Linked DNA regions of Tamandua tetradactyla. The protein of the gene in region 1 interacts with the protein of each later gene in a pairwise test. Links are inferred from orthologs where the notes say so. Each region holds a gene or a part of one and is shown on either strand. Other genes may lie near its edges.

Region 1 (7,376 bases):
AGTCTCAGCTTTCCCACTTGAGAAAAGGGAATCAGAATATTGTGCTCTCAGGAATAATTTTCTGTCGAAATCCGTACTGCCTGTGGAAAGCTCATCCCAGCTCTGCTTCGCAGCCACACCTCATTGTCAGGACAACTGTTGGGGACAGCCCCATCGCTCCCCTCCACTTGGCAGGTGAGTCTCAGAGAGGGCAACCCAGCACCTGGACGACAACAAGTGCAACACACGATGCTGATAGTGTAAAATATACGCTGATCATAAAGACTTAGCCAGGAAAAGAGGACACAGCTCATCAGTACATTTTCGTTTTTGCCTGGATGCTGGAAGGATACTGTTTTTGGATATACCAGATTAAATAAAATCTATTATTACCATTCATCTTGATTGTTCTTCTTTCTTTCTTTTTTTAATTTGGTTGCTAAAAAACTTTAAAATTTACAGTCACATATGTGGCTCGCGTGATGCTTCTCTTGGGCAGCCCTACCCTGGGGAGTGAGAACACCAGACTGAAGGAAACAGATGAAGGGGGAGTAAGCACGTCAGTGTCGTGATGAAAAGGATAGAAGGAAAGGGGACAGAGTATAACAGGACAGCAGTCTCACATACAGGAAAGAGATGGCATCTGGGCAGAGACCCTAAGGAAGCACAGCATGGGCCTGCCAGGAAGTGGGGAAGGGGGAACAACGTGAGCAGAGGCTTCCTGGCTTCCCCTGAGGAAGGGGAAGTGTCAGCTCCTGCCCCCTGCCCCTCTCCGGGTCCCCAAGTCCCAGCCTGGAACCCCTTTGCTCCTGTTGCTCACCCCCCCCCCCCAGGGCACACAGGGGCCCAGTCACCTACTTTCTGCAGTGCGGCCTCCTGCCTGGCCCTCCGGCAGCTCCATGGGCCACCCCCACTGCTTGGCAGCAGCTGGCAACACTAACAGCCTCTCTCCATCACCAGGAGGGACCTGATCATTCCTGGAAGGACAACGGGCAGGACAGCCTGCTCAGTCGGTCATCCGCAGTTGGGGCCCTCCTGGCGCTCTAACCTGTTTGCCCGCCCCCGCTAGGACTGGGGCAGCTTGCCAGGGCCTGTTTTATGGACTGGAGGTGTGGGCTGGGAAAATGGGGGCCTGAGGGGGGGCGGCAGAGATCAAGGGTGACTAGTGGGGGGGAGGGGGAGGGGAGGGTCGAGTTGGGCAGTCTTCCCTCCTCCCTGAAGCCCCGTCCCTCCTATCTACTGACTACCAGTCTCGCTCTCCTTCCCTAAGGCCCCGGGCTCAGCTCAGGCCTCGTCCTCTCCCCCTGGACTGTATCCCAGCCTCTAGCCTCCTGGTATTACCTCGTCCATCCTCCACCAGGCCCCAGAGTGAATCTGCCCTCCCCTGCTCAATGCCTTTCTGTGGCTCCCCAGCATCCTGGGGACAGAACCTGGACCCTGGGCCTGGCACTTAAGGTCCTGGGTGGCCTGGCCCCACCCATCTCCTTCTCAGACACAGTGTCACAGTCCCTGACCCCTGGCAGCCCTTCCTGTCTCCACTTAAGACGTTCCCTTGGGTAAATGCTCTGCTCCCCACCCTGGGGCTGAGCCAGGAGCTGTCTCTGGGTCCCGCATTGCCTTGGGCCACCAGGGCACCCTGTCACTGGACTTCGGGCTCCCCCTGCTCCCAGTTCTTCCATGGCTCCCTAGTGCCCCAGCCCCATGCAGGGTGGTCCCCAAAATGCCTTCCCTCTTTTTGACATTTTTCTCCGCATCGGCAGACTCCCAGGTCCCCTGCCCTCACCATGCCCCGGGGCAGCTCAGCACGTACTCTCAAACCTGCTCTTCTCCCGGAGAACCACGTTCCCCCAGGCATGGACCACCCCCAGGCACTAGCGTCACTCCTGCCTAGCCCTGGGTAGCCTTCCCAGGGCCCCTCCTCTGAGCTTTGGCCATCCCCCGTGCAATTCTGGTCACAGCCAGCTCCACCACAGGACGGCAGGGGCTGACCCCGGGACATTTCCCAAAGCGACTGGGTGCTGCACTAATTCACTGGGGGGCAGGCGCCATCCGGGCTGACCGCGGCGGGGGTAGGGGGTCTGCGCCCGAGTCGGTGGGGTCCTCAGTGTCCCCACAAAGCGGTACCCCCCCCACCCCGCCCTCTTCCTTCCTCACCATGTCCCCCCTCACCCTGCTCTCTCCAGCTCCCAGCGGGCGCGCGGACTCAGAAGGTCCTAGAAAAAGGGGCGTCTGAAGGGAGACGCTTCCGGGGTTTGGACAACCCTCGGGGGTGCAGAGAGCGACGCTTAACGTGGGGCCTGTGTCCTGCCTAGGTTTCAGGGACTAACTCAGGAAGCGTCACCGAGGCTCGGCTCAGATGAGGAGAGCAGGACCGGGCTTTGACGTACGAGACCCCTGAGGAGCTCGGGCATGAGGGTGTCTCTGATTGGATTTGGGGAGGAATGTCTGACTAGCATATTTCGGGGGTATGATAGGATCTCAGGCGCTCCCTGACAGGATTTCGGGGACTCCCTGAAAGGATTTGTTGGGAAGGTCTGACAGAGAAGCCTGACAGGCTTTCTACAAGATTCTGCCAGGCTTTCAAAGAGGACTCTTACAGGATTTAGAAGCCCTGATTTGGGGCGTCTCGCCTACAGTTTGGGGGTCTTTGTCAGGTTTCCTGGAGCGGCTCTGACACGGATTCTGTGGGGAGTCTCGCTCACGCAGGGCACACCCAGAGCTGCGACCAAATCTCGAGACACCGACGAAGGCCACTAACAAACGACGGCAGTTGCGCGCGGTGAGGGACTGCGCGTGCGAGAGCATGCGCAGCAACTAAGCCCCACCCCTCCCCGCCGTGCTCCCTCCTTGACGCAAGCGCACATCGCTGAGAGGGCGCGAGCTATTCTTGTTGGTTACCTGTAACGGCAGTGTCGCGCATGCGTGGGTCTGCCCGGGCTCGCGCCCACGCTGGTGGCAACTGCGCGTGCGCGTTGGCGAAGCTGGGGCAGTGGATGCGTTTTAACTGTTGCGGCGAAGGAGGGGCAGTTGCGGCGAAGGAGGGGCAGTTGCGGGAGCTTTGCGAGGCCTTGTCTGCTGGTGCCTTAAGCTTCTGCTAAATGACGCTGAGCAAGGCAGAGGAGGACTGAGGGACCGCTCGTCCAGCCCACACCGTGCCCTTCCTACGCTCTGTTCCTTGCCAGGTGGCCCATTCCCGTCACAATGTCCCGCCCTCTCCCTCCTCACGGCTCTCGCTCTCACGCCGGATTCCTTTTGTGACTCCGGGAACGCTGTGTCAGGAGGACCCCGAAGGGTGCTCCTCAAAGCATTTGGTTCGTTCGGCTTGGGAGGAGGGGAAAAGTAGTCCTAGTTTTTCTACATAGAGGAGGAGAATTACAAACAATGGATACTCAAGAAGGGGGGTGTGGGACAAAAGGTGTCCCTTCTTCTCTGCCTCCCTGATAGTCCAGACACAAAAACAGAATCTTATCTACCCTCTCGTTCATTGGGCATCATTCATTCAGCTGTGACGTGCTCAGAATCCTTCCCTGCTAGGCTGTCTACATAGAACCCCTGTCCCTCTAACCACCTTTTCTGTTTACGTGGTCTTCAATGGTTTCACCAGGTGACAGTCTATGTTTAGGTTATTATTATTATTTTTATTTTAACATTTGTTCCCCCTATTATTTATTTTTATTCCATATGTTCTACTCGTTTGTTGACGTGGTAGATAAAAGGAGCATCAGACACAAGGTTTTCACAATCACGCAGTCACACTGTGAAAGCTGTATCATTATACAACCATCCTCAAGAAACATGGCTAAGACTCCATCTCCTTCTGCCTGCTCAGGACCCTCCCTCTTCCAACTCCTCATCTTCTCTCTTTCATAGTTAGCTGTTCATTCCCAACTGGATTCTTCACACTGGGCTTCTAAGCATGCTTGAATCTCTCTCATGAAAGGCAAACAAAATATACTGACTTATTATATAGATATTTCTTCATAGGGTCTAGTATTTTAGACTAGCCAGAAGTTGTTGAACTGTAATCCATTACTCTGGTCGTTGGTAATGATTGTTTAACTATATTGCAAAAATAAGGGTCAGTTGCTGTGTTTGTATGGACCTACTTCTTGATGTTTTGCTTTGTTTCACTGATTTTGTATATATATATACACATGTCAAAACTGCACTGCGTTAGTTAATCTATCTCTATTGTAAGTCTTAAAAGTGAGTAGAGTGCAATGCCAGTGGTCAGTAAGAGGGAGAGGTAAGGGGTATGGGATGTATGGGATTTTTCTTTTTTCTTTTTATTTCTTTCTCTGGAGTAATGTAAATGTTCTAAAAATGATCATTGTGATGAATACAGAAATATGTGATGTATTGTGAACCACTGTTTATTTTGGATGGATTGTGTGGTGTGCAGAGCTATCTCAATAAAATTACATTGAAAAAAAAAAAAAGAAACATGGCTACTGGAACACAGCTCTACATTTTCAGGCAGTTCCCTCCAGCCTCTCCATTACATCTTGAATAAGAAGGTGATATCTACTCAATGCTTAAGAATAACCTCCAGGATAACCTCTCGGCTCCATTTGGAATCTCTCAGCCATTGACACTTTGTCTTCATTTCACTCTTCCCCCTTTTGGTCGAGAAGGTTTTCTCAATCCCTTGATGCTGAATTTCAGCTCATTCTAGGGTTTTCCTTAATCCCTTGATGCTGAGTCTCAGCTCATTCTAGGATTTCTGTCCCACATTGCCAGGAAGGTCCACACCCCTGGGAATCATGTCCCATGTCACGTAGGCAGGGGGAGGGTGGTGAGTTTGCTTGTTGTGTTGGCTGGAGAGAGAGGCCACATCTGAGCAACAAAAGAGGTTCTCCTGGGGATAACTCTTGGGCCTAAATCTTTTTTTTTTGTCTGTCTGTCTGTTTGTTTGTTTGTTTTTCCTTTTCTTTTTTTTTCTTTTTACTATTATTATTATTTTTATTTTTTTCCTCTATATTAACATTCTATATCTTTTTCTGTTGTTTTGCTAGTTCTTTTCTTGGGCCTAAATTTTAAGTAGACTTGACCTATCCTTTGTGGGGTTAAGTTTCATATGAACAACCCCCAAGACTGGGGGCTCAGCCTATAGCTTGGTTGTCCACATTGCTTCTGAGAATATCAAGAATTCAACTTGGGAAAGTTGAATTTCTCTCTGTTCTCACCATTCCCTGAAGGGGACTTTGCAAATACTTTTCCACTCACTGATCGAATCACTCTGGGATTCATCAGGGCATCACTCTGGGCAAACCAACAAAATCTCATGTCCTACCTGAGATTCCAAGTACTTATGGTGTTCAATCAAACTACCTACATAAGTTATCTTAGGAAATGCACTAGTCAAAATATAAATTTTGTGCCAAGTAAACATTGTTTGCTTTAGTCTCACACCTAAGGTGACATTTTAAAATATTAATTACCATCTATTTTCAGCACCCTGCAATAATGACATTCCTTTGTTCTTCCTCATGCAAAAACATTTTAAAAATCTGTACATTTAGTCACTATCATTATACACTCTAGGCATTCCTAGATTATACCATCTCAATCTTTAACATCTTTCTTTCTGATTTCATTTATGCCCCCAGCCCTCCTCCCTCTATCATTCTCACATGCAGCTTCATTCAGTGTTTTAACATAATTGTATTACACTTAGGTAGTATAGTGCTGTCCATTTCTGAGTTTTTGTATTCAGTACTGTTGCACAGTCTGTATCCCTTCAGCTCCAGTTACCCAATATCTTACCCTATTTCTATCTCCTGATGGTCTCTGTTACCAACGAAATATTCCAAGTTTATTCACTAATGTCAGTTCACATCAGTGAGACCATACAGTATTTGTCCTTTTGTTTTTGGCTAGTCTCACTCAGCATAATGTACTCAAGGTCCATCCATGTTGTTACATATTTCATAACTTTATTCTGTCTTAAAACTGCATAATATTCCACCGTATGTATATACCACAGTTTGTTTAGCCACTCGTCTGTTGATGGACATTTTGGCTGTTTCCATCTTTTTGCAATTTTAAATAATGCTGCTATAAACATTGGTGTGCAAATGCCCGTTTGTGTCTTTGCCCTTATGTCCCTTGAGTATTGCCGGGTATTGCCCAGGTCATATGGCAATTCTATACTCAGCATTTTGAGGAACCGCCGAACTGCCATCCACAGCGGTTGTACCATTTGACATTCCCACCAGCAGTGAATAAGTGTGCCTCTTTCTCCACATCCTCTCCAGCACTTGTCATTTTCTGTTTTGTTGATAATGGCCATTCTGGTGGGTGTGAGATGATATCTCATTGTGGTTTTGATTTGCATTTCTCTAATGGCCAGGGAAGTTGAGCTATGTTTAGGTTATTATTGGTAATTTTCTCTAGAATGTGAGCTCTATGCAGACTTTGTTTTGGGACTAGGACATGTCAGGCCCAGTGTGGCAGTCAAAGCATATTTGCTGAATGTATGACTGGGTGGATGAGTGGATGGATGGATGGATGGATGGGTGGATGAATTCAGTAGTCAAGGGTAACTACTGAAGAGTGTAGAGTAATGGCTAAGGCTATGGATCCTGGAGTCAGATACTCTTGGGTTTATACTCTGGCTTCTTCTCTTCCTGTGACATTGGGAAAATGACTTCCCTTCTCAGAGCCTCAGTTTTCATCCCAAAAATAGAGATAATAATGATCTCTTAGGTTACCTGGAGGATTCAAGGGGATAATTCCAGGCTTATACAAGGTCCCTGTTAATTGGTAGTTATTATTTTGGCTATTAGGTGGTGGCCTGTTATAAAGCCTGGGAAGGAACTGGTTTGGCAGGTGGAGTGGTGAAGTGCTTCAAGAGGTGAGGTATGGATTTAAAAAACCTGGTGCCTTTGTTCTGTGACCTTGGAAAGTGGCTTCACTTCCTGAAGCTCAGCTTCCTCTTCTCCAAAATGGAGACAATTGTTACCCACCTCATGGGGCTTTAGGAGAGTTCAGTCAGAATGCATGCCAAGCGTCTTCATAGGACAGCCTGGTCAGTGGTGTATCTCTTAGTTTTATTAACCAGTGTTCTGTCATTCATTGATTGGTTTATTCTACAGTTTTTTTTTTTCCTTTTTTGAGGTCTGGGTAATTAAAAAAACCTTTTTTTTGGTAAAGTTGTAACATACATATAGTTAAATGCCAAATCTTAATATACAGGCCAATAACATTTTAATAAATATACTAGTGTAATCATTGTCTATATTAAGAAAGAGAGGTATCCCTAACACCTCTTTCTAATCATTACTCCCCAAAGATAATCACTGTTGATCATGTTTTCTTTTGCTCATTATTATCTTTCTGAGATCTATCATGCAGCACGGGGTCACTCTTTTCACAACTGTGGAGTATTTCATTTT
Region 2 (7,526 bases), on another chromosome or scaffold:
GCTAAGATGAAAAATAGGCTGATACAAAGGTGTTGGCAGGGCTGTGCACCCCTAGGAAGCTCTAGGGGAGAACCCTTCATTGCCTCTTTTCAGCTTTCAGTGTCTTCCTGACAAATCTTAGCATTCCTTCGCTTATGGCCACAGTACTCCATCCTCATATAACCTCCTGCTGTCTTCTGGTCTGTTTCTATCAAATCTCCCCCTACCTTTCTCTCATAAAGCCACTTAGAAGAGATTTAGGGCCCAGCTGGGTAATCCAGGATGATCTCACCTCAAAATCCTTAACTCAATCACATCATAAAGACCCTTTCTCCCAGTAAGGGAGCACTCACAGGCTCCAGGCATTAGGACATGGGTATAACTTTCTGAGGTCACCATTCAATCCATGACAGCACATAAATGGTGCCACTGGGATTCGAACCCCAGGCTGTTTTTGTCCCTGGGCCCACACTCTCATCAGTAACTAATATTTGATTGCTTGGTTGGAACTTGTTTTGACATCCCATCCCCATCGGAATTGTATCGTGTTTATTTAACACCTGCCAAGCCACCACTGTGGGATTGTGGTCAGGACTAGATCCACAAGAACCCTGCAGTTTCTTCCTCTCTCATCCCAGTGTTTCCCACAGTTCCTGCCGCAGGACTTGGTGTCTACTAGACGCTTGGGAAATGTCATAAAACAAGTCTAAAGATAAACATTCGCTGCTCCTTGTCAAAGAATTTGGAAACCATGCATAGGAAGGAGTTTGTGTTGACAAGTGGGCACGTTTATGGGTGGCAACTGTGTAATCAGCAGGTATTCAATGGGCAGCCCCCATGAGCCAGGTGCTGCAGGGACTCAGTGGTGATGCAGGCCGAATCCTAATTTAGGGAACTTGCTTGTAAGTGGAGTTGCCCAGCTCATGCGAGTTAGCAATACTACTAAGTGGTGGAGGTGACAGCCAGTATGGAGGTAGTGAATAAGAGAACTGAGAAAGGCAAACTGTGCCAGGTTGAATTATGAACGCTGATGAAAGACATTTTATCTTAATCCATGTTTCCATGGGTGTGAACACATTTCTAAATAGTATCTTCGACTGTGTTGATTCGGTGTGTGAACACATTTGCGACTAGGATCTTCAAAGGTCCTCTTCAGGTCCACCTGAATCAGGGTGGGTCTTAATGAACATTCCTGGAAACCTTATAGAGAGAAGAAACTGGAAGCCAAGAATCTGAGAAGCCCGCTCAGGGAGAAGCTGAACATCAGTGGAAGCCAGAAGAACAGACACAGAAGAAAGAGTGGTCACCATGTGGCAGGAGGCAGAGATGCAAGCCCCAAGAAAGCCCCAAGGATGCTGCAAACCCGTATTGGGATGCTGCAAACCCGTACTAGAATGCTACAGACTTTGGGGAGAAAGTGTGGCCTTGCTGACACCTTGCGCTTGGACTTCTGGCCTCTGAAACCATGAGTCAATGAATTCATATTGTTCCTGGCAACCTGTTGTGTGGTATTTGTCAAAGGAGCCTAGAAACTCAAACAGGAACCAATGCCAGAGAAGGGACTAACTCTATGTCCTTCTTGATTGCACTGAATTCCTTCCATATTCCTCTGTTGGAAGTATTCTTATTCCCATTTCATGAAAGAAGGAAGGTATTCAGAGAGGGTGAATAATGTGGTGAGGTCACACAGCAGGAAGTGGTGAAAGTGGGTTTGGGGCCCATGTCCCTTTGACCCTTTTCTTTACGCTAAGCAGTGAGTGTGGGTTTGGGGCCCATGTCCCTTTGTTTTCTCACGGTGACCAGGGGGATGAAAGGGGAGTGGCAATGATGTGGAAAGACTTTTGCGCAGAGAAAGTGTGGGTTCTACAGAGCTTTGAAGGCTCAGACTGTTTCGGCTGCATGGAGCTGGGCAAGCAGACCATATTGGATGTTCAACATTGAGGCTGCCCAACATCCAAACTCCTGGGGAATGACTGGTGTGAATTTGGCACAGTGTCTGCTGTGCAGAGGCTGGAGTCTTGTACCTGCTGCAAGTTCCCAGAAGATCTGTCCCCCTTGCCTCTGCCGCATCCCTTGTACATGGTGGCTTCACAGACAACAAGGGGGCCTGAGACAGTAAAAGTGGTACTTGGATTCCAGCCGGATGCAAAGGTCTCAACCCACCTATAAAGCTGAGAAGCAAACCCCCACCCCCACCCCCACCCGCAGCATGAGATGGCCGGAGTGGGGGAGTGGGGGTGGATTCTAAACCAAGGTGGACCAAAGTCAGAGAAAAGAACCGAGGGCCACTTCAGCAGGCAGACCATCTGTGAATGTCTTCTTGCTAGACTTTTATTCATTTTAACAACATTTAGCATTTCCTTCGAGCTAGACACTGTTCTATGTGCTTTACAAACATTAGCTCTTCTCATCTTCTCACCCCCCCCCCACCCCCAAGAGGGGGATCATTCTCAAACCCACTTTACTGAGAAGAAATAGAGGCACGTGGAGGTTATTAGCAGAGCTGGAATTCCAGGCCAGTAGCTGAATCGAGGCTGAACTGCGTCTGTGTTTTGTGGCCCTCTTGCAGGCAGAACAGGGCCTAACATACCATTCGGAAGCCTCTTGTATGCAATGGGGACTGACACCTGGTCAGCTCTGCTCTAGGCAGTTGGCGTGCTCATCCAGACCACCCACCAACCCTAAGTGGCAAGGGTCATTGTCGCATTTTTCAGACGGGGAAACTGAGGCTCACTGAGACTAAGCCCCTTATCTAGTCCATGCTGACCTGGGATCTAAACTCAAGTCTTGGGTGGCTCCGAAGCCCATTATTTATTCACCCCAACCATCCGCACTTACTGAGAGTCTTAGTTTCCCGGCTGCTCTGAGGAATGCCAATGGATTGGCTTAAACAGAGATTTGTGGGCTCACAGTTTTGAGACTCAGAGAAGTCCCAAATTGAGATGCCGAGGTGGCAACGACTCCTCCTCTCCGCTCCTCGGCCCCACGCGCTCCTCAGGGCTCCTCGGCCCCCACATCGGCTTCCAGAACAGAGCCGCGTCCTCTCCTTCCTCTTCCGGTTCCATCCACTTCCGGCTTCCGGCTTCCGGCTTCTCCCCGTGGTGCCCTTTTGATGTCTCAATTTCTTCTGCTTGTAATCCGGATTAAGACCCACCCTTTTTCCATTGGACCGCCCCTGGCTAAAATCCCCGCTTCAAGAGGTCCTGTTTGCAATGGGCTCGCGCCCACGGAATGCAGATTAAGATCACGTCTAAATCGGGGTGCATCATCATTCAGTCTGCCACACTGAGGTCAGTGCCTGAGGCAGAGCCCTGTTTTCTGCAGCTTGTTTGGTCTGGGGGAGCGGACAGACAGAGGAATATGCTTAACGGTGTTTTCACAGAAGATGTGAGCATTGCGTGGGTGGGCCAGGGGGAGCTGTGGAGAAGGGTGCCTGGGTCGCAGTGGGTCCTAGAGAGTAGGGGAGGAGGAAGCCTGTGAGGGAGTGAGGAAGGTAGCACCCCAGGAGTGGGGGTGTGGAGCCCAGGGTTGTTCAGGGGCGCAGGGACTCTGAGACAGGGAGGAGGGTAGAGGTCAGCGCCCAGAGGGCTTCCAGTCCACCCTGCAGGCTGAGGGAGACTTCACCTGCCCTATAAGGCAGCTGCATGCTTTGATGGGCCTTTTGACAAGAATAGAGCTTCCCAGTCCCCGCAGGCACCTGTCAGGTGATTCCCAGCATGTCTATTTATTTCAGGAGTCTTTTGGTTTAAAAAGACCATTACCCTTCTAATCCCATCTGGCTAGTTTGAAACTGTTTTGTAACCCAGAAAAGCCACCTTCTTTTTCTAATCTGGATTTTGTGGGGCCAAACCTATTGTTTAGATTGGACACACCCAATTGTGGGTGGAACCTTTTGATTAGATAGAGATGTGACCACCCATTCAAGGTGGGTCTTGATTAGTTTATTGGAGTCCTGAAAAGAGCCCACACAGGGAAACATTTAGGAGAAAACTTTCAGACTTCTGGAAATAACAGAAGGCGCAGGAGATGCCAGGAGCTGAGAGAACCAACAGAAGCTAGACAGGAGCCAGAGCCCAGCAGACGTCGCTATGTGCCTTTCCATGAGACACTAAGCTGAGAGATGAAACCCAGAGTTTTCCCCCAGAGCAGCTAAGTCAGGACCCACAGACACCTAAAGAGAAAGCCACTGGATTCAGAAGGTAAAGACAATGCACAGGGAACAAGGACCAGCAGATGCCAGTCATGAGCCTTCCCTTGTGACCGACATCAATCGGCCTTTCTTTGGAGTTAAGGTATCTTTCTCTTTTAGGGCCTTAGAACTGTAAGCTTGTAACTTAATAAATCCCTTTTATAAAAGCCGTTCCATTTCTGGTATATTGCTTTCTGGCAGCTTTGGCAAAAAGAACACCATTACACAAAGTTTTGTAGACTATAAACATTTTCCTGTGTTCCATTCTAGCCTTTCACATGCATATAAAACTGGAATTTTGTTTATGCAAGGATTAGGTTCCGTGACCTAAGGCTAAAATTGAGAATTGTCCAAAGAATTTATAATAAACTGTTAAATCACCAATAAAACATCATACAAGGCTTTCTTTCAAGAAGTACAACATAACTAGTGTTTTCTGGAAGAGATTATTTTTTCTTTGATTAAGCCCCAGAAGTCATACTTGACTTGTGTTTAGGAGATGTATTTTCTGGACTTGCACCGCTTTAACCTCTCGCATCCTGCTCACGAAGAAGGAGGCACCCGCAAGCTGGGATTGCCCAGGAAGGGGCAGGCTCGGGGCTCTCTTGACAGGCTCGTTGAGTGTGCTGGCTGACAGGATCGCACATGTTGGTTAAATGTCCGTTTCCAATCTGTCTTTGCCCAAATAGATTTGAAGTTAAGTTAAATGCAAGAAACATCACTTTCATTTTTTAAATAAATGACATGATTTATACAGTCTTGTATCTTACATTTTTCATTTGACAATATATTACTGGGACCAGTTCCCCTGTGTCTTAGTTTGTTAAGCTGCTGGAATGTGATATACCAGAAATGGAATGGCTTTTATAAAGGGAATTTGATAAGTCACAACACAAGTTTACAGTTCTAAGGCCATAAATACGCCCTACCTAAGGCATCCAGAGGAAGCTCTGGAAAGGCACGTGGCTGACATCTGCGGGGCCTTGTTCCTGGTTCTGCTGCTTCCAGCTTCCGAGGCCGGTGATTACCTCTCTGAGCATCTGTGGCCCTTCACTTAGCTATTCCGGGACAAAGCTCTGGGTTTCATCTCTTGGCTTAGCATTGGCCAGGGCCAGAGATTTCTTCTCTTCAGGTTCTGGCTATTTCTGTGATTCCTTGCTGAGCACCTGGGCTATTTCTCACTCTGTCTACAAGCATCTCCATCTATGTCACTTCTGAAGCAACTCCAAAATGTTTCTTCTTTTAAAGGATTCCAGTAAACCAATCAAGACCCACCTAGAATGGGTGGAGTCACATCTCCATTTAATCAAAGGTCACATCCACAATTGGGTGTGTCACATCTCCATGAAGATCAAAGTTTCCACCCCACAATATTGAATCAGGGTGAAAAGAAAGAGCTCTTCCCCCAGGATTGGGTCAGAATTAAAGCATGGCTTTTCACAGGGTACATGACAGAATCAAACTGGCACACCCTGTCAATAAATATTTTTAAACTGATGCTTACATAATTATGGATGTGTCAGAATTTTTTTGACTACCCACCTAGGTTGTTAATTTCTTCTTATTATAAATAACTTAGCAATGAAAATATTTGTTTGTATATAAAAAGATTTTCACCCTAAATGTTTGTCAGGTGGTTTGCAATGCTTAGAAGATGGAGATTTCCCAGCAACTCATCAAATTGCAGAGCTGGCAAAGGGCCAATGGTCAACCTCGCTGCATCCCAGCCTGGAGATATCTGACCCTGTCCACCCTATTTGGCAAAGCCTCCAGGGTTGGAGTGGGGGTGGGTGGGTGGAGGCATCAAACAGCTGAGGACCTTCTGTTACATCAAGGGAAAGGAAAGCTGCCCCCCTCCATCGGCGAGGGGTACTTGTGGGTGGGGAGGGGTTGACTAGGAACCTATGAAACCCTGGGAGGGCTGGCCACCTCCCAGGGCCTGGCTTCTGGCAGACCTGGGGGCCTCTGCGACCTGGCCTGGTCACCTGCTGCCTCTGTTCCAGCAGCCTCCACTCCAGGCAGCCAGGACTCCCAGTGCTGACCCTCCCGGATCCCTCCAGGACTTTGCATGGTGGACAGGCCGGCCTCTTGCTTCCCCACCCACCTGCGCTCAAGTGTCAGGTCTTCAGGAAAGCGGTTCTGGTTCCAAAGACTGGCCCAGAGGGAGGGTCACCTGCACTGTGGGGCCCCCTCCCTTGGAGAAACTCTTTACCATCCGCCTCTCCTTTCAGAATGGCCATCCCTTGGGGGAGGGGCCCACTTCCAGCAGGTGTGCAGTAAACATTTACTGAACTGAATTGAGTTAAAATGAACCTCATTGAATTGAAATGAAACTAATAGAGATGAATCAAATCGAGTCAAACACACTGAAAGAACAGGAGCTATTTGAATTCAGACAGCACCAGCTCTGCCTCTCCCTCTCTCCTTCTCCCTCTCTCCCTCTCTCTCTCTCCCACTCTCTTTCTCCCTTTCCCTCTCTCTCTCCACCCCCCACCAACTTCCTTAAACCTTCTAAGCCTCAGTTACCCCATCTATTAAATGGGATTATAATTCTTACTTCTGACAGTTAAGGATAAAAAGTTAGTCATGCTCATTGGTCAGCCATGACATGCAATCACTACTTGCTGACTCAGAAGATGTTAAATGGGTCTTTATTGTAGGCCAGCTCTGTCTGGGCTCCTTTGGAGATTCTCAGGTAGAGACAGGATGCAAATGAATCATTATGCTCTCCTAGGGGGAGACCTGGGATGAGGGTAGGATGGCAGGAGTAGAGGAGAGAAACTCCAACTTGCTTTGGGATGAACAGAGAAAGCTTCAACTGAGTTGGGTCTTGAGGGATGTGTAGAAGTTTGCTAGGAGGAAATGAAAGAGAAGTGAATTTCAGGCACAGGGGAGAGCTGGAGCAAAGGCACGGAAGAGTGAATGAGTACAGCTTGTGGCTGGAGGGAAGGATGAGGCTTGGAAGACAGGCAGTGATGCCAGCTGAACCCCAGTCCAAGTTCTTAATCTCGAAACTAAAAGAATTTAGAAACAAGAGGGCCAATAGGAATAAGTACTACAGTTTATTTTAAAAAGTTATTTAAAAAGAGAGAGTTAAGGGAGTTTAACTCGGATGTGCCCAAGAGAGGGACAAGCGGTGAATGGAATGGGCCAGCTTGTTTTATAGGAAAGTTTTGTTGGTAGCAGATTTCCATAGTAACCTTTGAGCACTACGTGTCTTCTTTGTTTTAGGAGGAGATAGCTAGCAGAATTTGTGGCTTGCTGTCACATACCTAGAATTTGTCTTTGGGCAAATGCTTAACAATCTTTATGACTCTATGATTCCTATCATTAACTAAGAATTTGTTTTGGGCTCAGA
Region 3 (7,059 bases), on another chromosome or scaffold:
CACCATAACCCATTACCAAAACTGTTTCATCACCCCAAACAGAAACTCTACCCATTAAGCAATAACTCCCCATTCTCTCCTTCTCTGCCAGTTATTTTGTAACCCACTTCCTGTCTCAATGAATTTTTTTTTCTAGATTTTTCATATAAGTGGGATCATGCCCTATTTGTTCTTTCGTGTCCAGCTTTCTTCACTCAGCATAATGTTTTCACGGTTCATCCATGTTGTAGCATATATCAGATGTCATTCCTTTTTATGACTGATTAATATTCCATTGTATGTAAATACCACATTTTCTTTATACCACATATTCATCTGCTGAATAATACCTGTTTTAAGTAACATATTTCCCTTTTTATATTTGTAATATAGATCCTTTGTAAACAAATGAACTACAAAAAAAGAAAAAGAAGTCACCCATATCCCACCATCCAGATATAACCCTGTTAACGTTTACTGTGCATTCTTCCTAACTTTTTAATTCATGTACATATGTATATCCCTTTAAAAAATAAAAATGCATCAATTTGTACAAACTTTTGTAACCTGATTTTTCACTCTTAGCACCTACTAGATGCCTGACATATCAAGTTCTCGATAAAGATTTGTTGAATAAATAAGTGAACCTATTTCTGTTTCATTAAATATTTTTCTATGGCATCATTTTAAACAGTTGCACAGATTTCTACTGAAGTATTATCATTTATTTAACTAGACCCTGAAGATCTGAAGAGGAAAAAAGCATTATGGTGGACACAAATATACCCCAATTAGACCCCTCTTCAAGACTCGTTGCTCAGTAGCTAGTACTGGTAGTCTCCAACCTCCGGCTGTCAGCCCCCTTTAAAGATTGCTTGAACTACCAAAAGACACCTTGCAAGGATGACCCTGATCCTGGGACTGTTTAAGGAAAAGCACAATAAAGAACAGTTACTATGGCCGTCTTGGGTCCAGAGCTCCAGGGAAAAGGCTAGCTAAGGATGTTTTGCCTGCATTACAGTTCAGATTCTATCTGTGCCCAATCCTCTTTCTTCCCTCTCCCTTCTAAGGGTTTTAATACAAAGGGCACTGCCTAATAAATATACTGCACACTAAACTCATATCTCACAATCTGCATCCTGAAGAAACTAACCTGTAACAGGAATAGTGCTAATCCTTGAGGAACTCCCCAGTCTATTGATTAAACCCTCAGTAAATTCTAACATTACTGCCCTTACTTCTTCCCTATACCATATTAAATCAACTGTGAAGCATAGATGTCATGATATTCTATTCAGCCATTAAAGTAATGTTGGTGCTGTATATGACATATGGTGGCTCCAGAGAAAGGAAAGGATAGAAAGAAAGGAAAAAAGCAAAGGAGGACAGAAAAACTCCAACAGGTGCTGGAGAGAATGTAGAGAAAGAGGCACACTTATCCACTGTTGGTGGGAATGTAAAATGGGACAACCACTGTGGAAGGCAGTTTGGCGGTTCCTCAGGAAGCTAAGTATAGAATTGCCATATGACCTGGCAATACCATTGCTAGGCATCTACTCAGAGGACATGAAGGCAAGGAAACAAATGGACATTTGCACACCAATGTTTACAGCAGCATTATTTACAATTGCCAAGAGTTGGAAACAGCCAAATGTCCATCAACAGACAAGTGGCTAAACAAGCTGTGGTATATACATACCATGGAATATTAGGCAGTTGTAAGACAGAATAAAGTTGTGAAGTAACAGCATGGATGGACCTTGAGGACATTATGCTGAGTGAGATTAGCCAGAAACAAAAGGACAAATACTGTATGGTCTCACTAATATGAACTGACATTAGTGAATGAACTTGTAGAATTTCAGCTAAGAACAGAAACTATCAGGAGATAGAAATAGAGTAGATATTGGGTATTTGGAGCTGAAGGGATACAGATTGTGCAACAGGACTGATTGTAAAAATTCAGAAATGGATAGCACAATACTACCTAACTGTAATACAATAATGTTAGTACACTGAATGTGAGAATGATAGAGGGAGAAGGGCTAGGGGCACAAATGAAATCAGAAGGAAAGATAGACGATAAAAACTGAGATGGTATAATCTAGGAATGCATAGAATGTGCAATGAGAAGTGACTAAATGTACAAATTAAAAAATGCTTTTGCATGAGAAAGAAAAATGAATGTCAATACTGCAGGGTGCTGAAAATACATACTAATCATATTTTAAAACTTTAACTTATGAGTGAGACTAAAGCAAAAAATGTTTATTTGGTACAAAATTTATATTTTGACTAGTGCATTTCCCAATATAACTTATGTGGGCAGCTTAATTGAACACCGTAAGTACATGGAACCTTGAGTAGGGCATGAGATTTTCTAAGTTTATCCAGAGTGATGCCCCGATAAATCCTAGAGTGATTTGAACAGTGAATTAAAAAGTATTTACAAAGTCCCCTTGGGGGAATGGCAAGAAAGAGGGAAAATTCAACTTCCCCATGTGGAGAATTCCTGATATTCTCACAAGCAGTGAGGACAACAAAATCAATAGGCCGAGCCTCAATCTTGGAGTTTGTTCATAGGAAACTTATCCCCGCAAAGGATAGTCTAAGCCTACTTAAAATTAGGCCTAAGAGCCACCCCAGAGAATACCTTTTATTACTCTCTCTCAGCCAGCACAACAAGCAAACTCACTGCCCTCCCCTTCTCTGTATGGGACATGACTCCCAGGGGTGTAAACCTTCCTGGCAGCGTAGGACAGAAATCCTAGAATGAGCTGGGACTCAGGGTCAAGGAAATGAGAAAACCTTCTAGACCAAAAGGGGGAAGAGAGAAATGAGACAATGGCTGAGAGATTTCAAATAGTGTCGAGAGGTTATCCTGGAGGTCATTCTTAAGCATTATATATAGATATCGTCTTTTTAGTTAAGGTATATTGGAGAGGTTGGAGGGAAGTGCCTGAAACTGTAGAGCTCTGTTCCAGTAGCCATGTTTCTTGAAGATGATTGTATAATGATATAGCTTTCACAATGTGACTGTGTGTGTGATTGTGAAAACTTGTTCTGATGCTCCTTTTATCTACAGTATGGACAGATGAATAAAACATATGGATTAAAAATAAATAATAGGGGCAACAAATGTTTAAATAAATTTAGTAGATTGAAATGCTAGTGATTGATGAAAAGGAATGATAAGGGGTATAGAAAAAAATAGAGGAAACAAAGGCTAAAATATATTGAGTAGATGGAAATACTAGGAATCAATGAGAGGGAAGGGTAAGGGGATGGTATGTATGAGTTTTTTTCTTTTTTCTTTTTATTTCTTTTTCTGAATTGATGCAAATGTTCTTAAAAATGATCATGGTGATGAATATACAACTATGTGATGATATTGTGAGTTATTGATTATATACCAAGAATGGAATGATCATATGGTAAGAATGTTTGTGTTTGTATGTTATGTTTAAAAAAAATTTTAAATTAAAAAAGAAAAAAAGCAAAGGAGGAAGGAAGGGAAGGGGAGAGATTGGAAGAGACAAATTCAATATGAGATAATTATCCGAGCCCTCTCTCTATGTTCAAATTCCTTCCAGTCTGTTTGTATCCAGGTTTCTTGACCCTCCCCTTATTAGTGTTTGAACCATCTACAGTGGCACAACTTGGGCAATTACTATTCCCATGAATATAACCCGATATATTACAGAAACTGAAGCTGGATGTGACCCTGTACAGGTAAACATGTACCCACATCACTATGAGCAGCCAAGGCAATAGACAGACCTTGCAATACATGAAAGCAGAAGTAAGGATCAAGTAACACTTATAAAAGCAAATCAAATCAAAAGAAAAAAGAAAAATAATAAAAATGAAAATCTGAGTTCGTGTTCAAGTAAAGTCCACACTTAGGAGGCATCCAGATAAGTACCGAGCTGAGCCTCGTCCCAGTGCTCCTATCTGTCAGCATCACCACATACCAAAGAAGCAGAAATCCACTGACTGGAAGAGTCCTGCCAGTTCTGACATGAGTGAGGCAGGCTCAGGCAGCACCAGGTTCAACCCATGTGAGATCCTCCCAATCACAGCCCATCTTTCCTACTCCCAGAAGTTTGAAGAATTGCTGCAGGGTAGAAAAGCACCTCAGGCCAGTGCAGATTTCAGAGTGACCAGCACAGCAAGGAGACCAGGAGAGGGCTCTGTGAGTAGACTGATTTCACTCTGCAGAGAAACCCACTGCACTCTGAATGGTTGGGTTGCTTCCCTGGGAGGGAAGGCGGTGGTCAGAAAGGGAAAGGGGAAGAAGTTACACCCCTGATGAACAGAGCGTTCTATTTTTTTGTAATCTAGGATGTTGTGATTGTTACGTTCTCTTTTACTTTGAACTATTTAAACTGCTTTCCTGAAATCTTTGATATCGTCCTATTCTCAGCACTGGGGTTAAGGTTTTTCTGAGGATGTTGTTCTGATTGCAATTGATGTCTGTCCTGATTTCAACTTCAAATTTCCTCACAGAAAGGCCAAGAAAAATCCTAGAACCCTGGGAAACCCTGTATCTCCCAATTAAATCTCATATAAACCTATGTAGACCTCCAATTTCCTTTTGGAGTCAGAAACGGAAAAGAAAACTTAAGGAAACAGGTCACGTTCTTTCTTAATACACTGTTTCTTAGCTTAGCAGAAAGAACGTTTCCTGGTTTTGTCAGAAATCATTTGTTCCTGCCAACTAGTAATGAGATTTGTGAGACAATTTATTCATGATTTTTCTCTGCAAACAGTTTGGCTTAATAATTGTGTCTGTTCACATCAGTCAATAAATTAGATTCACTTCTTTATTCGTTGTCTAAATCACTCTGGGATTTGTTGTGGCATCATACCTACCTGGGCAAACCAACACAATCTCACGCCCTATTAAAGAGTCCATGTACTTATGGTGTTCAGCTAAACTGACCATACAAATTAAATTAGGAAATTCACTACCCAAAATATAAATCTTGCACCAAATAAACATCTCTCCCTTTAGTCTCACACAGAAGTTGAAGTTTTAAGATATGGGCGATACCATTCCTTACCCAGTCTTCTGATATACCTTAGTCCTACCCAGATCAGCCTCATTCATATCTCTGCTCGATGTCTGATCACTTTTTCAACAATCGGTGTGGAGTTTCTTTTGGGAGTGAGGAAAATGTTCTGTAATTAGATAATGGTGAGAGTTGCACAACAAAATCCGCTGAACTGTGCGTTTTAAAATGGTGAAAATGGTGAATGTTATGTGAAATTTATCTCAATAAAATAGTGTTCAGATAAAAAAATAAATTAGCTTTATCAACACAATGCTACTTTTATATAATTTATTTTTATTCTTCACCAATTTGTTGATCTGTGAGGGTCAGCAAGTTAAAAATCTATTTTTGCCCTCATATATTGTTATATATACCTAAAACCCCACTTCTAACTAGTTTTAAATATTTTTAAGCATCTTGAATTTTAGGTCTTTTATAAATGTCCTTGTGAAATTAAAGATAATTTTTATTGTCCATTTTTTGCCTGAGTTGAATGGCTAAGCAAAACAAGAAAAAATTCACTTAGTATATATATATATATATCTTAGATTATATAAGCCTTGTGAAGAGATGTTTTCCTTTTGATAAACCTTTTCAACGAGGAAAAAAAATTCTTGTTTTCTGCTACAACAGACTATTTTTTTTTTTGCTTTCTGCTATCACAGGTTAAAAATCAGCTCACCTACTTATTTTTAAAAAGTACCTGGGAAGAATCATAGACTCTTAAATTCAAAGGGAACCATAGATAGCATCTAGTCAAGAAAAATAAGTAATATCTTAGAATTTCTTTTTTAACCTCTCCTGAGTGCATTCTTAACCAAAGCAAACAGCAATCAGCCCCAGAATGCACCGTATCCTGCTGCTGGATTCCAGACCCGATGGCTCCACAGGCTGCCCTCAGTCCTGATGGGCCTCCATTCCCTAGCTGGGGCAGAGACCACATTCATGAGGGGGTACTGTAATCTCACCTCCTCCAAGTATTCTCCATACCGTTCCTGCCCTGAGGCTGGCAAGGCTCACTCCTGAGGTCCGCACTCAGCTGAAGTGCCTGAGCCATTGCTTATATGGTAGTCCTTGATTTCAGGTGGACTCTGGGATCATCCCAGGAGTCTAGAGTATCACTGCACCATAGAACGTCCATAAAGATGGAAATGTTCTATAAGGAGCCACTAGCACGTGTGGCTGTCGAACACTCGAAGTGTGGCTATGGCAACAAAAGAACTGAATTTTTCATTTAATTTAATTTGAACTGATTTAAATCTAGCTACTCACATGCAGCTAGTAGCTACTGTATTGCTCAGTGTAGATCTAGACCTTCAAAGCAGGAAAAACTGATGGTACTGTGAGCTGTGGATGTCATGGCCAAGGGAACAAGCTCTTTTTTTCATCATTCCCAGGGACTCATCCTACCTTAAATTTAAGCAGACCAGCAACAGAACTGATCTAAAATTTCCACACCCACCTGTGCTCTCAACCCTTAGCCATACAACCATGTGCTTTTGTCCTGGGTTTCAGGGCCAAGGCTAAGGCAAAAGCATATTGTGTTTCTTGGTTTCTTCCTTTCCTGTTCCCCTTTCTTCTTTTTTCTTTTTTTTCCCCCTTTTGTTAATCTAAATTTCTCTAGCATGAGCTAGTTTGAGGTGTGGTCTCTGTGGTCTTTGGTACAACGAACTTGAATGAGTGAAAAGGTAATGAATTTGAAAAACTGATCTCATGCTTGGTGGATGAATCTCACTTCTTTTTCTTCTGCTTTGAAAATTGGTTTTATTTACAAGAAATTGTTTTTAGACCTATTCAGTGTCTGGAAACACCAGCACTATGGATCTGAATAATTTTTATAAGAAAAGAAACCAAATGAAGGCATAAGAGAAAAAGAAACAACCAGAATTAAAGCTCCAGCCTTTCTAAAATCTACACTTTTCAAAACAAAGAAACTCCCAAGGTGTTGAGCAATTTGAGTAAATCATCATGGTGCCAGGTCCCTGGGTAGTTTTTTCATAGGGTGAGGCTCACAGGAGGCTAT
Region 4 (7,752 bases), on another chromosome or scaffold:
GGTTCGATTCCCGATGCCTGCCCATGTAAAAAAAAAAATTGTTAATGAGGAGCGCCCTTCATTTATTGACTCATTCATATATTCATCCAACCATTAATGTACTCAATTCAACAAATAAATGGGATATACGATCACAATGGCTCATGGGCAAGGTGTGTCTCCAGTGGGAAAGGAGCAATACACTGAGGATGCCACAGTCAGTTTAAGAGTTTAAGAGGCATTTGGTAGTTTCTCATTCTATCTTATGTTGAATAATGGCTTGATGATATTACAGATTGAGGGATTCATGGCAGACTCAAACAACAGCATGCAAGGAAGACTTGGAAAGATTTCTACTGTCCGACAACAGGACTGCCTTTGGCCCTGTGCTTTGTTCAGTTTAAAAAAAAACATCAACTTAGGCTTACCAAAATTTACAGATATGTATTCAATTCAACTACTGTCATTAATTTCTGTAACTGTAAAACTTCAGTGCTGGTGTTCATAGAACTCTGTGTGTTTCCTTTTAAAGGCTCCCAATCACAGAATCAGAGCTAAAAGGAACCTTACCAGCCCCAAATTAACATTTTTCATATAAGGAAAACACTCCTTTTAAAGACTCTTAATCACAGTATTCTAAAAGGAGCCTTAGCATTCCCAAATGAACATTTTATACAGCAAGAAAAACAAAGCCAAGTTTCCCATTCCTGGCTCTGTTATATGTAGAGAAAGGCAGATGAGAAAGTATTGTTGGATGAAAGAAGGTAAATTCCTTGCAGGCAGGGCTGTATTGTCAGCACCGAGAATGGTGCCTGTTCCATAGCAGGTGCTCAAGAGATACTATTTGAATGAATGATTTAAGATTAGAGGGCCAAAACTGGCCCACCGTCTATTTTTGTGAATAAAGTTTTATTGACATAAATGGTTATGACAGTCATAACCATTCGTTTATGTTTTGCCTGTGGCTGCCTTTGCTCTACAAGAGTAGAGGTGAGTCAACAGACGAGTGGCTAAACAAACTGCGGTATATACATACGATGGAATATTATGCAGTTTTAAGACAGAATAAACTTATGAAGCATGTAATAACATGGATGGACCTAGAGAACATTATGCTGAGTGAGTCTAGCTAAAAACTAAAGGACAAATATTGTATGGTCCCATTGATGTGAACCGACATTCGAGAATAAACTTGGAATATGTCATTGGTAACAGAGACCAGCAGGAGTTAGAAACAGGGTAAGATAATGGGTAATTGGAACTGAAGGGATACAGACTGTGCAACAGGACTAGATACAAAAACTCAAAAATGGACAGCACAATAATACCTAATTGTAATGTAATTATGTTAAAACACTGAATGAAGCTGCATCTGAGCTATAGTTTTTTTTGTTTGTTTGTATCTTTTGTTTTTTTTCATTTTTTCCTTTTCTTTTTTTATTATTATTTTTATTTTTTTCTCTATATTAACATTCTATATCTTTTTCTGTTGTTTTGCTAGTTCTTTTCCTAAATCGATGCAAATGTACTAAGAAATGATGATCATGCATCTATGTGATGATGTTAAGAATTACTGATTGCATATATAGAATGGAATGATTTCTAAATGTTGTGTTAATTTCTTTTTTTCTTTAATTAATAATAATAAAAAAAAAAACAGTAGAGGTGAGTAGCTGGAACAGAAACTGTATGGCCCATAAAGCCCAAAATATTTACTATCTGGCCCTTCACAGAAAAAGCTGGTGAATGCTGCCATAGAGTCCAAGAGTGGTTGTTGGAGGTCTGCAGAGATAAGGAGTCTATCTATATTCTCCAAGTTTGTTTGGGACACCAGTTAGTATTCCTTCCTCTCTCTAAGTTTACATAAAATCCAGCTACCCACATTTCCCTGTGATCAGCTACCTACTGCAGCTGGTAACGGTACAGTCTAAGACTTTCTGAACAAAATGATTCTTGAAAAGAGTAAATAATAGCTTCTTAGCAACATCATTTAATCAGATGAGATTCTACATCACAGAAGGCACTACTCAGCCCACTGTGCTTTGTTATTGTAAAAAACCTGCCCTTCCTTAGTAACATGAGAGTAATTTTCTGTTTCGTTTCTTCATCAGTTGACTCATACCTCTAGTTTTTCAAGACCCTTTCTATAATTTTTCTATGAGAATTGGTTTCCCCACTGTAAGAGCAAATTTGGTTATTTTCATACCATTACAAAGTAAGTTCTGTATTTTCACTCCCCCAAACCAAACACTTTATCGCTCAAGTAAAAAGGAAAAAAAAAAAAAAAGATGAAAGCATAAGAGGGACATCATCCTCTTATTTCCTAATAAGAAGAGCTCTAAAGCTCTTCTTTTGCTGTAAATTCATTAGGGACGCTGGTGCCTACATGATTTCATTTCCGTGCTGCGGGAATGTGATTTTAAGTGTGCTCACCAGAAAAGAACTACGGGATAAAATGGAAAGTTTAAAGAGTAGGATAGATATGGCCCCTATCACCATACTCAACTACGTATCTCAGCAAGATCCAAAACCGCAGGTCAATATGAATAAACACCACTTCCAAGGAATTTAAGTTATGAGAAGCTAAACCAAAGTTCAATTTCCTTAAAAATAACCGAGTTGGCAAGTGCTGGACACAGTATTATAATCTGTAGGTACGATTTTCCCTCCATTCAGTGTGCAAAAGAGCAGGTAGTCACGGGCTCGTAGACACGAACGACCCGGCCTAACTTTTGCAGGCCCCAGACGCGACCCTCTGTCCGCCGCTGACATGGGCATCTCGCCAGAGATTAAGCCGACGCCGGCAGAGCCCCCGCACGGAGGAATTCGGCGTCCACACCAGCGGACGTCCCCATACCCCAGCCCCGGCGGCTGGTCTCGCCCCGCCTGGTTTTGCCCCAGCCCGTGCCCCGCTGCGGTCCTCACTTGTGCGTTTGCTGATACAGCGGCTCCATGGCGCCGACTCGGGCCGCCCGGGCTCCGGCTTTCCCAGAACACGTCCTCACAGACCCCCCAACTTCCGGCCTCCGGCTTCCGGCTTCCGGTCGCAGGGCCCTCTCGCGCCTGCCTGCTAGGGGTGCCCGCCCGCGCGCCTAATTGGCTGTAAGAGAGAAGCCCGAGGAGGGGAATGAGAAAAGAGGTCGGAAGAAAAAGGATAAATGTGACCATAAGTTCGAACTCTCATAGAGGATGAGGTGATGTAGGTTTGGGCGGCAGGTTGACTTCAGGGTTGAATCAGTCATTGTCAAAGATAGCCGCAGGGTGCTGGCGTGAGGTCCTTAGGGCTAGGCTGGATGTGAGGGGAGGGATACCTTTTAACTGCAGGAGGAGAAAAAGAGAGTCTCTACTTGGCTTTGTGTTAAACATTTTGCTAATTGTGGGTCTGGAGAGTTCATTCATCACTGAAATCTGTGGCGCAAGCTTCTCCTGTCTTAGATTTGTCTGTTCACTGGCCCAGTTCACTCGCCCCATTTATCCATTCAATAAACCCACTTCGAATGAGTGTTTACCATGCCGTGTGTGCAGTGGAGGAAACTGTCTTCTTCCTGCCATCAAAGAGATCGCGGTCTAGGAAAGTACATAAAATAACTATAAAAATAACCATTTTAGAAGGTAGAAAATCCAGAGATGAAAACAGGTTGAGCCAAACTGAAATCGCGTCCAATGGGAATTTCAGGAAAGGCTTCATGAAAGAGGTAGCAGTAGGGTTGGAACTTGAAAGATTTGGACACAAGGATCTGTCCCATGTCCATTCTCCCAGGCTTATCTGCAGTCCTTCTCTAGGGAGGAGATGTTCCTCTTCCTTTGATAAGTTGGTGCTTCCATTTTCCTGTATCCTGGATCCCACCCAGTTTTGTGTCCCAGAGACTGCTTACCGTCATTCAATTTCTTTCCCTAAAATTAATTTTTCCATTTATTCTAACACTTATTGAGCATCTACTATGTAAAAGGCACATACACTGGAGGTAAGAATTCCAGGACACAGCCTGTGTCATCATATCTCATACTCTTTTGGGAGGGCTAAATCATGCCCTCAATCATATTATCAGGTGATAATGTGATAAGTGCTACAATTGATACAAAGTACTATTTCTCCAGGGGAGGGGGGCACTCTGAGGGATGAGCAAGAAGGGTTCATGGACTAAATAGCATTTGAATAGGACCCTGGAGAGTGAATAGTTTTAGACACACTAACAACTCTAAGTGTTTATTGAATTGGCCGTGCTGAGATGAAAGAGAAAGCATTTGAAGCTGAGTGAACAGCTGGAACAAAGACAGAGATAAAGAACATGGGTCTTCTGTGGAACACAGGGGCCTGATAAAGAATTTTAAACACCATGCTTAGTTTTTGTTCATGCAGTAGTTGGAAGCTGTCCAAAATTGGATAGAAATTTTCAATTTTTTCCATTATTTTTTGTGCCTATATCTTGTTCTTTAGGTCTCACAACATCCCTGTGAAGTGGGTAAAGCAGATAAGGAAAAATGGAAGTCCAGGTCTCCCCTCTCTCTCACAGTCTTTTAGGGTTTTTTGCTTTTTTTTTTTTACGGGGTTAGCCCTCGCCCTAAATGGAAGAAAACTTCTTCGCTCCATCTTGCTGCACTTTTAACTTCTATCCCATTTCTTCTTCTTCTTTTTTTTAATGGCTGGGCTGGTTTGAAAGGATGTATGCCCCCTAGAAAAGCCATGTTTTAATTAAAATCCCATTTCATAAAGGTAGAATAATCCCTATTCAATACTGTATGTTTGAAACTGTAATCAGATCATCTCCCTGGATCATGTAATTTAGTCAAGAATGGTTGTTAGACTGGATTAGGTGACGACATGTCTCTACCCATTTGGGTGGGTCTTGATTGGTTTACTGGAGTCCTATAAAGAGGAAACATTTTGGAGAATGAAAGATTCAGAGAGAGCAGAGAATGCTGCAGCACCACGAAGCAGAGAGTCCACCAGCCAGCGACCTTTGGAGATGAAGAAGGAAAATACCTCCCGGGGAGCTTCATGAAACAGGAAGCCAGGAGAAGAAGATAACAGATGACACCATGTTCGCCATGTGCCCTTCCACTTGAGAAAGGAATTGTGAACTTCATCGGCCTTCTTGAACCAACGTATGTTTCCCTGGATACCTTTGATTGGACATTTCTATAGACTTGCTTTAATTGGGACATTTTCTCCATCTTAGAACTGTAAACTAGCGACCTATTAAATTCCCCTTTTTAAAACGGAATTTAAAAATTCCGTTTCTGAACCCTCATACCAAAACCAGGCAAAGATATTACAAGAAAAGAAAACTACAGGCCGATCTCTCTAATGAATATAGATGCAAAAATCCTCAATAAAATTCTAGCAAATCGTATCCAACAACACATTAAAAGAATTATTCATCATGACCAAGTAGGATTCATCCCAGGTATGCAAGGATGGTTCAACATAAGAAAATCAATTAATGTAATACACCATATCAACAAATTAAAGCAGAAAAATCACATGATCATCTCAATTGATGCAGAGAAGGCATTTGAAAAGATTCAACATCCTTTCCTGTTGAAAACACTTCAAAGGATAGGAATACAAGGGAACTTCCTTAAAATGATAGAGGGAATATATGAAAAACCCACAGCTAATATTATCCTTAATGGGGAAAAATTGAAAACGTTCCCCCTAAGATCAGGAACAAGACAAGGATGTCCACTATCACCACTATTATTCAACATTGTGTTGGAGGTTCTAGCCAGAGCAATTAGACAAGAAAAAGAAATACAAGGCATCAAAATTGGAAAGGAAGAAGTAAAACTATCACTGTTTGCAGACGATATGATACTATACGTCGAAAACCCGGAAAAATCCACAACAAAACTACTAGAGCTAATAAATGAGTGCAGCAAAGTAGCAGGTTACAAGATCAACATTCAAAAATCTGTAGCATTTCTATACACTAGCAATGAACAAGCTGAGGGGGAAATCAAGAAACGAATCCCATTTACAATTGCAACTAAAAGAATAAAATACCTAGGAATAAATTTAACTAAAGAGACAAAAGACCTATACAAAGAAAACTACAAAAAACTGCTAAAAGAAATCACAGAAGACCTAAACAGATGGAAGGGCATACCGTGTTCATGGATTGGAAGACTAAATATAGTTAAGATGTCAATCCTACCTAAATTGATTTACAGATTCAATGCAATACCAATCAAAATTCCAACAACTTATTTTTCAGAAATAGAAAAACCAATAAGCAAATTTATCTGGAAGGGCAGGGTGCCCCGAATTGCTAAAAACATCTTGAGGAAAAAAAACGAAGCTGGAGGTCTTGCGCTGCCAGACTTTAAGGCATATTATGAAGCCACAGTGGTCAAAACAGCATGGTATTGGCATAAAGATAGATATATCGACCAATGGAATTGAATAGAGTGCTCAGATATAGACCCTCTCACCTATGGACATTTGATCTTTGATAAGGGAGTCAAGCCAACTCACCTGGGACAGAACAGTCTCTTCAATAAATGGTGCCTAGAGAACTGGATATCCATATGCAAAAGAATGAAAGAAGACCCATATCTCACACCCTACACAAAAGTTAACTCAAAATGGATCAAAGATCTAAACATTAGGTCTAAGACCATAGAACAGTTAGAGGAAAATGTAGGGAGATATCTTATGAATCTTACAATTGGAGGCGGTTTTATGGACCTTACACCTAAAGCAAGAGCACTGAAGAAGGAAATAAATAAATGGGAACTCCTCAAAATTAAACACTTTTGTGCATCAAAGAACTTCATCAATAAAGTAGAAAGACAGCCTACACAATGGGAATCAATATTTGGAAACGACATATCAGATAAAGGTCTAGTATCCAGAATTTATAATGAGATTGTTCAACTCAACAACAAAAAGATAGCCAACCCAATTACAAAATGGGAAAAAGACTTGAATAGACACCTCTCAGAGGAGGAAATACAAATGGCCAAAAGACACATGAAGAGATGCTCAATGTCCCTGGCCATTAGAGAAATGCAAATCAAAACCACAATGAGATATCATCTAACACCCACCAGAATGGCCATTATCAACAAAACAGAAAATGACAAGTGCTGGAGAGGATGCGGTGAAAGAGGCACACTTATCCACTGTTGGTGGGAATGTCAAATGGTGCAACCACTGTGGAAAGCAGTTTGGCGGTTCCTCAAAAAGCTGAATATAGAATTGCCATACGACCCAGCAATACCATTGCTGGGAATCTACTCAAAGGAATTAAGGGCAAAAACTCAAACAGACATTTGCACACCAATGTTTATAGCAGCGCTATAAACAATTGCAAAGAGATGGAAACAGCCAAAATGTCCATCAACAGACGAGTGGCTAAACAAACTTTGGTATATACACACGATGGAATATTATGCAGCGTTAAGACAGGATAAACTTATGAAGCATGTAATAACATGGATGGACCTAGAAAACATTATGCTGAGTGAGTCTAGCCAAAAGCTAAAAGACAAATACTGTATGGTCCCAATGATGTGAATCGACACTCGAGAATAAACTTGGAATATGTCATTGGTAACAGAGTTCAGCAGGAGTTAGAAACAGGGTAAGATAATGGGTAATTGGAGCTGATGGAATACAGATGGTGCAATAGGACTAGATACAAAAACTCAAAAATGGACAGCACAATAATACCTAATTGTAAAGTAATCATGTTAAAATACTGAACGAAGCTGCATCCGAGCTATAGGTTTTTGTTTTGTTTTGTTTTGTTTGTTTTGTTCTTATTA

The links.
Region 2: the proteins of KASH5 (region 1) and NSG1 interact in binary tests that used the Homo sapiens proteins (3 or more experiments, as listed by UniProt). The two-hybrid records come from large-scale screens. The link is inferred for Tamandua tetradactyla from reciprocal best matches to the Homo sapiens genes KASH5 and NSG1.
Region 3: the proteins of KASH5 (region 1) and UPK1B interact in binary tests that used the Homo sapiens proteins (3 or more experiments, as listed by UniProt). The two-hybrid records come from large-scale screens. The link is inferred for Tamandua tetradactyla from reciprocal best matches to the Homo sapiens genes KASH5 and UPK1B.
Region 4: the proteins of KASH5 (region 1) and GOSR2 interact in binary tests that used the Homo sapiens proteins (3 or more experiments, as listed by UniProt). The two-hybrid records come from large-scale screens. The link is inferred for Tamandua tetradactyla from reciprocal best matches to the Homo sapiens genes KASH5 and GOSR2.

What each region holds. Positions count from the first base shown.
Region 1 is NC_135342.1:11,710,471-11,717,846, forward strand, and holds the start of KASH5 (protein KASH5), read right to left. Parts: upstream 3,007-7,376; 5' UTR 2,878-3,006; intron 2,772-2,877; exon of another isoform or gene 2,577-2,771; intron 2,193-2,576; exon of another isoform or gene 2,149-2,192; intron 957-2,148; 5' UTR 881-956; coding exon 838-880; intron 373-837; exon of another isoform or gene 114-372; intron 1-113. UniProt on the Homo sapiens protein: As a component of the LINC (LInker of Nucleoskeleton and Cytoskeleton) complex, involved in the connection between the nuclear lamina and the cytoskeleton.
Region 2 is NC_135345.1:8,695,801-8,703,326, forward strand, and holds the start of NSG1 (neuronal vesicle trafficking-associated protein 1), read right to left. Parts: upstream 3,011-7,526; 5' UTR 2,818-3,010; intron 2,812-2,817; exon of another isoform or gene 2,440-2,811; intron 1-2,439.
Region 3 is NC_135336.1:26,917,318-26,924,376, reverse strand, and holds the start of UPK1B (uroplakin-1b), read left to right. Parts: upstream 1-4,049; 5' UTR 4,050-4,174; intron 4,175-7,059. UniProt on the Homo sapiens protein: Component of the asymmetric unit membrane (AUM); a highly specialized biomembrane elaborated by terminally differentiated urothelial cells.
Region 4 is NC_135332.1:21,422,943-21,430,694, reverse strand, and holds the start of GOSR2 (Golgi SNAP receptor complex member 2), read right to left. Parts: upstream 3,016-7,752; 5' UTR 2,934-3,015; coding exon 2,905-2,933; intron 1-2,904. UniProt on the Homo sapiens protein: Involved in transport of proteins from the cis/medial-Golgi to the trans-Golgi network.